Linked DNA regions of Callithrix jacchus. The protein of the gene in region 1 interacts with the protein of each later gene in a biochemical or structural test. Links are inferred from orthologs where the notes say so. Each region holds a gene or a part of one and is shown on either strand. Other genes may lie near its edges. The genes, in order: PLG, THBS1 and SERPINF2.

Evidence for each region.
Region 2: the proteins of PLG (region 1) and THBS1 form a complex in vitro, tested with the Homo sapiens proteins (2 studies listed by BioGRID). The link is inferred for Callithrix jacchus from reciprocal best matches to the Homo sapiens genes PLG and THBS1.
Region 3: the proteins of PLG (region 1) and SERPINF2 form a complex in vitro, tested with the Homo sapiens proteins (2 studies listed by BioGRID, with this or other methods). The link is inferred for Callithrix jacchus from reciprocal best matches to the Homo sapiens genes PLG and SERPINF2.

Annotation. Positions count from the first base shown.
Region 1 is NC_133505.1:167,360,774-167,363,676, forward strand, and holds the end of PLG (plasminogen), read left to right. Parts: intron 1-1,166; coding exon 1,167-1,312; intron 1,313-1,952; coding exon 1,953-2,114; 3' UTR 2,115-2,337; downstream 2,338-2,903. UniProt on the Homo sapiens protein: Plasmin dissolves the fibrin of blood clots and acts as a proteolytic factor in a variety of other processes including embryonic development, tissue remodeling, tumor invasion, and inflammation. In ovulation, weakens the walls of the Graafian follicle.
Region 2 is NC_133509.1:47,076,196-47,080,434, reverse strand, and holds the start of THBS1 (thrombospondin-1), read left to right. Parts: upstream 1-1,335; 5' UTR 1,336-1,484; intron 1,485-2,079; 5' UTR 2,080-2,125; coding exon 2,126-2,192; intron 2,193-2,471; coding exon 2,472-3,031; intron 3,032-3,895; coding exon 3,896-3,971; intron 3,972-4,239. UniProt on the Homo sapiens protein: Adhesive glycoprotein that mediates cell-to-cell and cell-to-matrix interactions.
Region 3 is NC_133506.1:66,495,349-66,498,997, reverse strand, and holds part of SERPINF2 (alpha-2-antiplasmin), read left to right. Parts: intron 1-542; coding exon 543-686; intron 687-829; coding exon 830-1,033; intron 1,034-2,030; coding exon 2,031-2,173; intron 2,174-3,649.

The DNA.
Region 1 (2,903 bases):
CACAAAGGCAGAAATACAACTAGGAGAATGTTCACTCTCCCTAATTGTCAAAGAAGTGTAAATTGGAAAATGAATCGGGACAATTCAACCTATTAGATCAGCTAATATTTTAAAACTTAAACACTCATACAAGTGAGGTGAAGCGATTATTTTCTAGTGATTATGGTACATTGTCACACCCTTTTAAAGAATAATTTGGCAGTGTTACTGTAAGACAGAAATATGCCTGTATGATTTATGGGAACTTAGGCTCAGAAAATATTAAGGAATAAGAGTGAGCTTTATGAACAAAGATGTGGAACCATGGAAGCAAGAGTAGGGCCAACATGCACGAGGAGGGAGCATTTGGGCAGTGACTCTGCAGACCCAGGCTCAAGCTCAACTACACAACGTCTTTGAGCCTCAGTTTCCTTAACTGTAGAAAAGGAATGACAAAAGCCCCTGTTTCATAGGACTGTTGTGAGGATTAAGTGAGATGCACCACATTATAAGTTTGCGCCCGTAAAGGTTAATTCTTGGTAAATGATGACTATTCTTTTTTATTGCAATAAAATATACAAAACATGAGGTTTACTATTTTAACCATTTTGGAAGGTTCCACTGAGTGGCATTTAGTACATTCACAACGTTGTGCAACCATCACCGTATTTCCAGAACATTCTCCTAATCCCCAAAGGAAACCTCATGACCATTCAGCAGTAGCTCCCCATTAACATGTTAGTTATGAAGATTGTAGCATTATAAAAAAAAACTCATGATGCAACATTGGGAAAAAAATCGAGATGAAATTTTGCAATATTATGTAATAAGTAAAAGAAGCATATAAAAAGTCTGAAAAAATAGTATATACAACAATAGCAACTACATTCTCCAGACTCTACATTGTAAACATTATTATTTATAATTTTAAAAGCAAAAAGTAAACAACCAACCCCAAAGCACCATGACACAGCCCAGATTGTTAAATCCAGGCCTCGGGAACATAGAGACGTGTATGACGTTTACACTCTGCAGGGTCAGAGGGTCCCACGGCACTGGGAGCTGCCTTGTGTTCCGCAGCTTCCTGGACAGACAGGAGGCCCAGCACTGCCGCTCTGATCTTCTGGAACTTCCTCCTGATCATGTTTTGGGAGCGGTAACCATTTCTTTCATCTTTTTAAACACAGGTACCTTTGGGGTTGGCGTTCTCAAGGAAGCCCAGCTCCCCGTGATTGAGAATAAAGTGTGCAATCGCTACGAGCTTCTGAATGGAAGAGTCAAATCCACCGAGCTCTGTGCTGGGCATCTGGCAGGAGGCACTGACAGTTGCCAGGTACGAAAAGATCAAGAGACCAAGCTTAGTCTTGTGTCCTCCTGTCTCAGTCTCAGCCCCCTAGGCTTCAGTCCCCAGGTGGCAAATTCAAGAAGGATTTGTCAACTAAAGACCCCAGTCTAAGTGTTGCTCAGAAACTCCCTAGATCTGTGCCTGAACACATATTCAGATCATCTAAGGGGAGGTCTTGGGGCTCGGGTTCCAGATGGGTAGCAAGGGAGTTATAAGGTCTGTAACTACCTCAAGCCATTCGCCCTCCTGGGGTGTGCTAGTGGCTAGGGACTAAAGTGGTGACTTTTCCAGCAGGGAAGGAGGTAGAGGGCACAGGACAGAGACCAACTGCACACACTTTACAAGGATGCCCAGGCTAGCCCAGTCTAAAGGAAACCCCAACATAGGAAGGGATCGCACAGGATTCACAGGGATTTGTTTTTCCCCAGGAAAAACTAAGTGGTGTGGTTTTGCTGAATACACTTTGCCAAGTACTTAAGCACTGCAGATGCTCAAGTAATATGCTCATAAGTGCCTTTCTGATTTCAATTACTGGGAAAATGTACGTATGGATAAGAGAAGGGTGGTATCCCCTATTAAAAGGCTGGCAGCATTGCCCTCACATGGATTTTTCTCTCCCTCTGTATAGGGTGACAGTGGAGGGCCTCTGGTTTGCTTCGAGAAGGACAAATACATTTTACAAGGAGTCACTTCTTGGGGTCTTGGCTGTGCACGCCCCAATAAGCCTGGCGTCTATGTTCGTGTTTCAAGGTATGTTACTTGGATTGAAGGAGTGATGAGAAATAATTAACTGGACGGGAGACAGAGTGAAGCATCGACTCACCTAGAGGCTGGAACGTGGGCAGGGATTCAGCATGCTGGAAATAACTGACAGTAACCAAATGAAGACACTGTCCCCAGCTACCAGCTACGCCAGACCTCAGCACTTTTTGTATCATTGTCTGACTGCTGGTTTCTGTAATAAGATGACATAGCTATGACATTTGCTAAAAATAAACTCTGTACTTAACGTTGATTTGAGTACATTTTGGCTTTTGTCTTCAACATTTTCACGTTCTTGGTTCACCCCACCAATTTTAAATGGGCAGACTGAGGGGGTTGACTGTGTTTGATAAGAAACAGCCGGGCAAAGGACGGAGAAGGCTGAGGTCACAGAGGGGAGAGCCGAGTATTCCTTGGAAGTCGTCCACGCATTTGCCTCATCGGCTAACGAGGGCTTGACGCACATTTCCACTGTCTTTATTCCTAACACTGAGACGAACGTTTTCAAAGCTGCAACATGTACGGAGAGCCCTGAGAGCCGGTTCTGTCATTGGGAATGAAATCTGTTGCTGACTGTCGACTTGAGCCCAGAGGGGACCCAGAGCAGAGAGGGGTATATCAGGGAGTGAACTGGGCCATGAGTGTATAACACAAGAGCAGCTGAGAGTCTGAATGTTATTCTGGAGCACGTGTGAGTCTAGGACGGGTGCCAGGAGCATGTGAATGGACAGCAAGCTAATACTGAAGGTGGACCCCTTATTTCCCATCGCTCATTTCCTGCCCGGTTTTTAACCAGTCTGCCGCTCACTGTCACAGG
Region 2 (4,239 bases), on another chromosome or scaffold:
AGTCCTGCCAGATTTAAGCACTAAGATGGGAAATGAGCCCCAGGGGTTTCCCCCTGCCTGTGCTGCGATCCTTATTTGGTCAAGCTTCTACCTATGCCCTGGCCTCGGAGCCAGCCAGATAGCCTGGACCAAAGCAGAGGGAGCGAGGCTGCTGACGTCCCATCCCGAAGAGATGAATGGAATTCCAGGCAGCTGGAGTCATGCTGGCTTGGGACAGTGGCTTGGAGACCAGACTTCAATGACAGAAGCACTAGGCAGCGGCACTCATGGCAATGTGTGCACCCACAGAAACGTAACTCACACCTCGATTTCAGGAGCCGAAAAATGAAAAGAACGTTTAGGGAGGAAAAAGGGAAATACAATAATAAGCAGAGGGTAATTTATTACTCTATGGGTCTGTTCTGTAAATAGTTGAAGACTCTGGAGCCAGATGGTTCTGCAAATTCTCCAAACAGGAGTCACGTTAAGAAGCACGAGTGGGCACAAAAACTGTTTTCCAAGACACAATTTCAATTTGGCTTGAGGAAACTGGATACGAGTAAGTTTCCTTAAAATTCGAGTAAAGAGCCGCTGTCCTCCCCGGGCCCCTTGATGAGAACACGCATACCGCCCCCAAGCGGCCGGCCGAGGGAGCGCAGCGGCAGCGGGAGAGGCGCCTCCGTGGGCCCCGGGTGGCCGCGGCAGGAAAGCTTCCGAAGGCGAGCGCCGCGCACCGCCCTGCCCGCCCGGCCGACGCCGAGCTCACCTCCCGCCAGGGCGGGCGTGCGGCCAGCCCGGGACGGGGGATCGGGGCACGCGTGGTCCTCACCCCACCGGGACGGTGGAGGAGGGTCAGCGAGGGCCCAAGGGGCCGCTGCTTGAATGAATGGCTCTTTCGGGGTCCCCTGCGCCCCGTCGGCCCATTTTTCTGGTCACAAAACGGGCCCCCTGTCCCATGTACCCCTCTCAGCCCTCGCCCAGGCAGTCCGGGAGACAAGCTCGCCCGAAAGCCCCCGCCCCACCCCGCGGGCCCTGGGTGGTCGCCGCAGCCCAGTCCCTGCTCGGGATGCTCGCTGACCGCCCCGGGCCCGCGTGGCGCAAGAGCGCGAGCGCCGAGCCCGTGAGCGCCAAGGCTGCGTGGGCGGGCACCGACTTTTCTGAGAAGTGCCAGTGCTACCAAGCCCCGACCCCCGCCCCCTTCACTTTCTAGCTGGAAAGCTGCGCGCCAGCAGCGGGGGGCGGAGAGGAGCCCAGACTGGCCCCCTCCCGCTTCCTGCCCGGCCGCCGCCCATTGGCCAGAGGAATCCCCAGGAATGCCAGAACTCCTTTAAAAGCGCGCGGCTCCTCCGCCTTGCCAGCCACTGCGCCCGAGCCGGCCTGCGAGTTCAGGGCTTCTGCAGCTCTCCCGGCGCTACCTCCACTCCGGACGCACCGGCGACACCCCGCCTCTGCAGCCCTCGCCGCCCTCGTCCCCGCTCCTGGCCGCCGCGCTCCGGTCCACACAGGTAAGACGCCTCCGCCGAGGACCAAGGCTGCCCGGGCCACCTACCTGGAACGCTGAGGCTTCGGTCCCTTTGGTGGACCCCGGATCCCACATTCTTCCCCGCTCACCTGCCCCAGCCCGCCCCTCCCGCCCGCTGGGGGACTTTTCAGGACAAAGCTCCAGAGCCATCCTCTCCAGCCTTGGGGTTCACAGACCACCTCATCAGGACACACCAAGATTTCCTTACTGGTCTTCCTTAAACCTTTGTATTGGCAGTCCAGTTAACAGTCTGTACTTTCCCGTGCCCTCTCTGCAACCACTACGGCTCCTGATCTGGTTCACCTTCGACTTCCCAGAAGCCCCCAAATTGTTGGTCTTGCGCCCCCACACTTTAAAACCAGCATCTCTTTCCTCCACTACTCACTCTCACACTCTCTCTCTCTCTCTCTCTCTCTCTCTCTCTCTCTCTCTCCTCTCTCTCTCTCTCTCTCTCAAGTAATCCTGTTGTCCTTCATTCAGCAAAGAGGGATGGCCCCGGCCCCATGCCCAGCCCAGTTTCTTTTTCTGCCCACCCTCCCTGCCTAGCTGATCTCTGACCCTGGGCTCTTGTGCTGCAGGATCGTTCCTGCTACAGGATCCCTGCTGGGCACCAACAGCTCCACCATGGGGCTGGCCTGGGGACTAGGCCTCCTGTTCCTGTTGCAAGTGTGTGGTACCAACCGCATTCCAGGTGAGTTTGTGTGGCACCTTTACGGGAAGGAGGGATGAGGATGAGGTGCTGGCTACCCCAGGTGTGCCCCCTGACATGCTGTTCTCTCCCAGCTCCTTTTCTCTTGAGCCAGACTGGACATCAGGAGGCAGCTTCCCTCTGATCCTGGTCTTTATTCAGCTCTTTCAGTGGTTGCCAGGAGTTTCCACCCCAGCCCTTGCTCCCCACCCCTAAGGACTCAGCCCCCTACTGCTGGTCCCAGCCTAGAAATCTCACTATATGTTCTCTCCTGTCTAACAGAGTCTGGGGGAGACAACAGCGTGTTTGACATCTTCGAACTCACCGGGGCTGCCCGCAAGGGATCTGGGCGCCGACTGGTGAAGGGCCCTGACCCTTCCAGCCCAGCTTTCCGCATTGAGGATGCCAACCTGATCCCCCCTGTGCCTGATGACAAGCTCCAAGACCTGGTGGACGCTGTGCGGGCAGAGAAGGGTTTCCTCCTTCTGGCCTCCCTGAGGCAGATGAAGAAGACCCGGGGCACGCTGCTGGCCCTGGAGCGGAAAGACCACTCTGGCCAGGTCTTCAGCGTGGTCTCCAATGGCAAGGCGGGCACTCTGGACCTCAGCCTGACGGTTCAAGGAAAGCAGCATGTGGTGTCTGTGGAAGAAGCTCTCCTGGCAACCGGCCAGTGGAAGAGCATCACCCTGTTTGTGCAGGAAGACAGGGCCCAGCTGTACATCGACTGTGAGAAGATGGAGAACGCTGAGCTAGACGTCCCCATCCAAAGCGTCTTCACCAGAGACCTGGCCAGCATCGCCAGACTCCGCATCGCAAAGGGGGGCGTCAATGACAATTTCCAGGTGAGGCTTCTTCTCTGAGCCCTGCTACATGGGATCATCTGCTAGACAGGTGACCTGCCAGGAGGGCTACAGGAAATCCTGAATGTAAACTAAAGCAGCAGTTCTCAGATTTTAGGCAGCATGAGCATCACCTGGAGGGCTTGTGAAAGCTCACACTGCTGCACTCCAGTCCCAGAGTTTGGGATTCTGTAAAACTGCAACTCAATTACAAGTACCAGGTGATGCTGATGCTGGTGGTCTGGGAAGCACACTTTTAAAACGACTCAAGGAAACAAGAAATGGTTTTCCTTCAGCAGTCAGCCTGTTCAAACGTTAGATACTCCTTAAGCTCTTAAGAAAATCGCTTATTTCATATGCATTCCCCCAATTTTAATCGTTTGAAATTGATACTTTCTATGGGCAGAATCAGTACCACTTTGCTATCGGAGTTCTCATGGGGATGCAGCCAGTCTCACACAAAAGGTTAAAATAGCAGTGAGCTGTTGCTGTTACAGCTTCTTCTGTGCCTTAACTTCTAGATCTTTGCAACTGTGGCTTTGATCTCCCATATTTAACTCTTTGACACTGGGACGTGTCATTATATCCTCTGGGCTTAAGATCAGATTCCATTTCCTGTGTACCCAAGTAGACTGATAACTGAATTCTTTATAAAATACTCAAGACTTGGCAGAAGTCGCAATTAAGATGTTGAAGTTTTTTGGCAATTTATGTTGGTGTGTTGTTTTGACACAGTGATCTTAAAAAAGCTCTCTGAAGCTTTTAGAATATCTGTTGTGTGCTTTTCCTAGCACAAAGACAGTCTCCCCCAAACCCATCCCACATCCTCTCAGCATTCTACATGTAATGTGTGTCCTCTGTCCACAGGGGGTGCTGCAGAACGTGAGGTTTGTCTTTGGAACCACACCAGAAGACATCCTCCGGAACAAAGGCTGCTCCAGCTGTGAGTACTCCTTTATCCTTAGGGCTCATAGGGAGATGGGGGAATTCCACTAAAAACAAGGGGAGGAATTTAGCAATAGTGGTTATATGTCAGTTACCCCCAGTAAGATCATTAAGCATACAAAAGAGACCTCAAGGGGTACTGTGCACACACGTACACACACATGCCCACATACAACCCCTCTACCTTCATCCTTCACCCCAAATGAAATGTCTTATACCACTAAGAACTCAAGAGGCTGGTGGGTAAGAGTATTTGAAGTTTTCAT
Region 3 (3,649 bases), on another chromosome or scaffold:
TGGAGTGCTATGGTGCAATCTTGGCTCACCACAAACTCCGCCTCCTGGGTTCAAGTGATTCTCCTGCCTCAGCCTCCAGAGTAGCCGGGATTATAGGCATCTGCCACCACACCAGGCTAATTTTTGTATTTTTAGTAGAGACAGGGTTTCACCCTGTTGGCCAGGCTGGTCTCAAACTCCTGACCTCAGGTGATCCACCTGCCTCGGCCTCCTGAAGGGATTATAGACATGAGCCACTGTGCCTGGCCTCTCCTGGTGATTTTTACGTGACAGTTTGATAGCTGTACTCTCTCCCATTGTGCTGGAGGGTTTTGCTCTGGGAAACGGAAGCCCAGAGAGGGAAGGTCACTTGAGAGACGTGAGGTCACCCAGGCTGTCAGCCACGGGGGAAAGACTCAGTCATGCAGAGCAGAACCGTGGCTGTGGGAGGGCACTGTGCGGTCCTGTGGGCATGCTCATCACAGGTATCCAGGAGGGACTGGAGCAGGCAGTGGGGGTGAGAAAGGGCCCCAGCAGGCCTCAGCCGGTGCACTGCCCTCCAGGTGCTCAGAACCACACGCTGCAGAGGCTGCACCAGGTGCTGCATGCCGGCCCTGGGCCCTGCCTTCCCCATCAGCTGAGCCGCCTCTGCCAGGGCCTGGGCACCGGCACCTTCCGACTGGCCGCCAGGATGTACCTGCAGAAAGGTGGGTGCTGAGGCCGGGGACCCTCCATCCTGACCTGGGGTGAAGGAGGGTGAGAGACAGGGGCTGGGCCTCCGGCAGCGGGTAGGAGCATGGCTGACCGTGGAGCCTGAGTCCCAGGGACAGCCTGTGCTCCCTGTGTGCAGGATTTCCCATCAAAGAAGAGTTCCTGGAACAATCAGAACAGATATTTGGTGCAAAGCCTGTGAGCCTGACGGGAAAGCAGGAGGATGACCTGGCAAACATCAACCAGTGGGTGAAGGAGGCCACGGAGGGGAAAATTCCGGAGTTCCTCTCCCAGCTACCAGAAGACACGGTGTTGCTTCTCCTCAATGCCATCCACTTTCAGGGTGCGCTCCTCCTCCTCATACATCCCCCACCTGGCATCACCCATGCCATAGGCCGAGCTGGGATGTGCAAGCTTTTTTTTCTTTTTGAGACAAGCCTCACTCTTGTTCCCCAGGCCAGGAGTGCAATGGTGCGATCTCAGTTCACTGCAACCTCCGCCTCCTGGGTTCAACCGATTCTCCTGCCTCAGCCTCCGAGTAACTGAGATTACAGGCCCTGCCAGCATGCCCAGCTCATTTTTTTGTATTTTTAGTAGAGATGGAGATTCACCATGTTGGCCAGGAGGGTCTCAAACTCCTGACCTCAGGTGATCCACCCGCCTTGGCTTCCCAAAGTGCTGGGATTACAGGTGTGAGCCCCCGTGCCCAGCCCCCGCTTTTTTGACTGATTCTTGCTCTGTCACCCAAGCTGGAGTGCAATGGCACAATCTCAGCTCACAGCAGCCTTTGCCTCCTGGGTTCAAGCTATTCTCCTAATTAGCTGGGATTACAGGCATGTGCCACCATACCTGGCTAATTTTTAGTAGAGACAGGGTTTCACCATGTTGGCCAGGTTGGTCTTGAACTCCTGACCTCAGGTGATCTGCCCACCTCAGCCTCCCAAAGTGCTGGGATAACAGGCGTAAGCCACAGCCCCCGGCCATACAGGCTTTGTTCTGAGGGTCCCCTTTCTCCTCTGTCTGGGCCATGAGGCAGGGGGCATCTGGGTGTGGTGGGGGCGGATGCCCAGGAGCCAGATGAGGTTGTCCTAGAGGGAGTACCTGGGAACAGATGGTCTGTAAAGACCCAGGGGAGATTCCTGGGGGCATTGCTGGGGTAGCGGGGAAGCATGAACCCAGATTTCAAAACCCCGCAGGAAAGAGACCTCAATCCACTGGATGCCACCGACATTCCCTGGGGTCTTGGCCTCTACCGCTCTCCACCTCTTGAATGGGTGCTGGGTGGGATGGGCAAGGGGCTGGGCCCCATCTCCATGACCCCTGCCTCTGCCTGGTTGCAGGTTTCTGGAGGAACAAGTTTGACCCGAGCCTCACCAAGAGAGGCTTCTTCCACCTGGATGAGCAGTTCACGGTGCCCGTGGAGATGATGCATGCCCCCACGTACCCGCTGCATTGGTTCTCACTGGAGCAGCCTGAGATCCAGGTTGTCCCCAGCAGGCTGGGCCTGAGTGCTGGGAGGCTGGGAGTGGAGGGGACAGTCTGTGGAGCCTACACAGGGCTGGGTGGTGGGTGTTTCGCTTTCCTTGCTGCCACTTCTCAGGGGCAGGCAGTTCCAAAAGGTTCCACATCCCTCTTCCTACCTGGCAGGAGGACTGAGGCTCCAGGCTCTTTGAGGTTCATTAATTCAATGAAAATATAGGGGACATTTGCTGTGTGCTTAGACACTGTTGTAAGCACTAGGGTTTTTGTGGAGCATGAGGGAGGCCGGGCCTCTGCTCTTGGGAGGCAAGATCCACAGGGCAACAGTAAACGTCCATCAACACAGGAATTCCAGACAGTGGAAGCACTATGGAGGGAAAGCTGAAAGAGAAGGTGATTTTGGCCCGGAGCGATGGCTCATGCCTATAATCCCAGCACTTTGGGAGGCCGAGGCAGGTGAATCATAAGGTCAGGAGTTCAAGACCAGCCTGGCCAAGACACGAAACCTCGTCTCTACTAAAAATACAAAAATTAGCCAGGCGTGGTGGCGAGCACCCATAATCTCAGCTACTCGCTTGAACCTGGGCAGCAGATATTGCAGTGAGCCGAGATTGTGCCTGCACTCTAGCCTGGGTGATAATGAGGTCAGGAGTTTGACACCAGCCTGACCACCATGGTGAAACCCCATCTCTACTAAAAATACAAAACTGAGCTGAGCGTGGTGGAGGGTGCCTGTAGTCTCAGCTACTCAGGAGGTTGAGGCAGGATAATTGTTTGAACCCAGGAGGCAGAGGCTGCAGTGAGCTGAGATTGTGCGCCTGGCAACAGAGCGAGATTCCGTCTCAAAAAAAAAAAAAAAGCTGGCCTCAAACTCCTGACCTCAGGTGATCCGAGCACCTCAGCCTCCCTAAGTTTTGGGATTGCACGTTACAACCACCACATCTCGCCTTATTTAGGTAGTTTAGAGTGGTCAGGGAGGATTCTTTGAGGAGGGGCACTGAACTGAGACTCAGGTGACCATCGTTGATGAGGGTTCATACAAGGCCCTCACACAGTGTCCTTAGAAGGGAGGATCTAATTGGACTGGATTTCCTTCATCCTGTGTGGAACATTCTGATTCTATACACTTTTTTTTTTTTTTTGAGACTGAGTCTCGCTCTATCCCCCAGGCTGGAGTACAGTGGTGTGATCTCAGCTCACTACAACCTCTACCTCCCAGGTTCAAGCGATTCTCCTGCCTCAGCCTCCTGAGTAGCAGGGACTACAGCACCACCACGCCTGGCTAATTTTTGTATTTTTAAAAGTACAGATGGGGTTTCACCATGTTGGCCAGGCTGGTCTCGAACTCCTGACCTCAAGGGATCTCGTGTTGGCCTCCCAGTGCTGGGATATTACAGGCCTGAGCCGCTGCGCCCGGCTCTGATTAGATAAAGTTCTGTGCCGAGCTGTCTCAGGTGTTGCCTCCCTTGCTTCTAGCCTA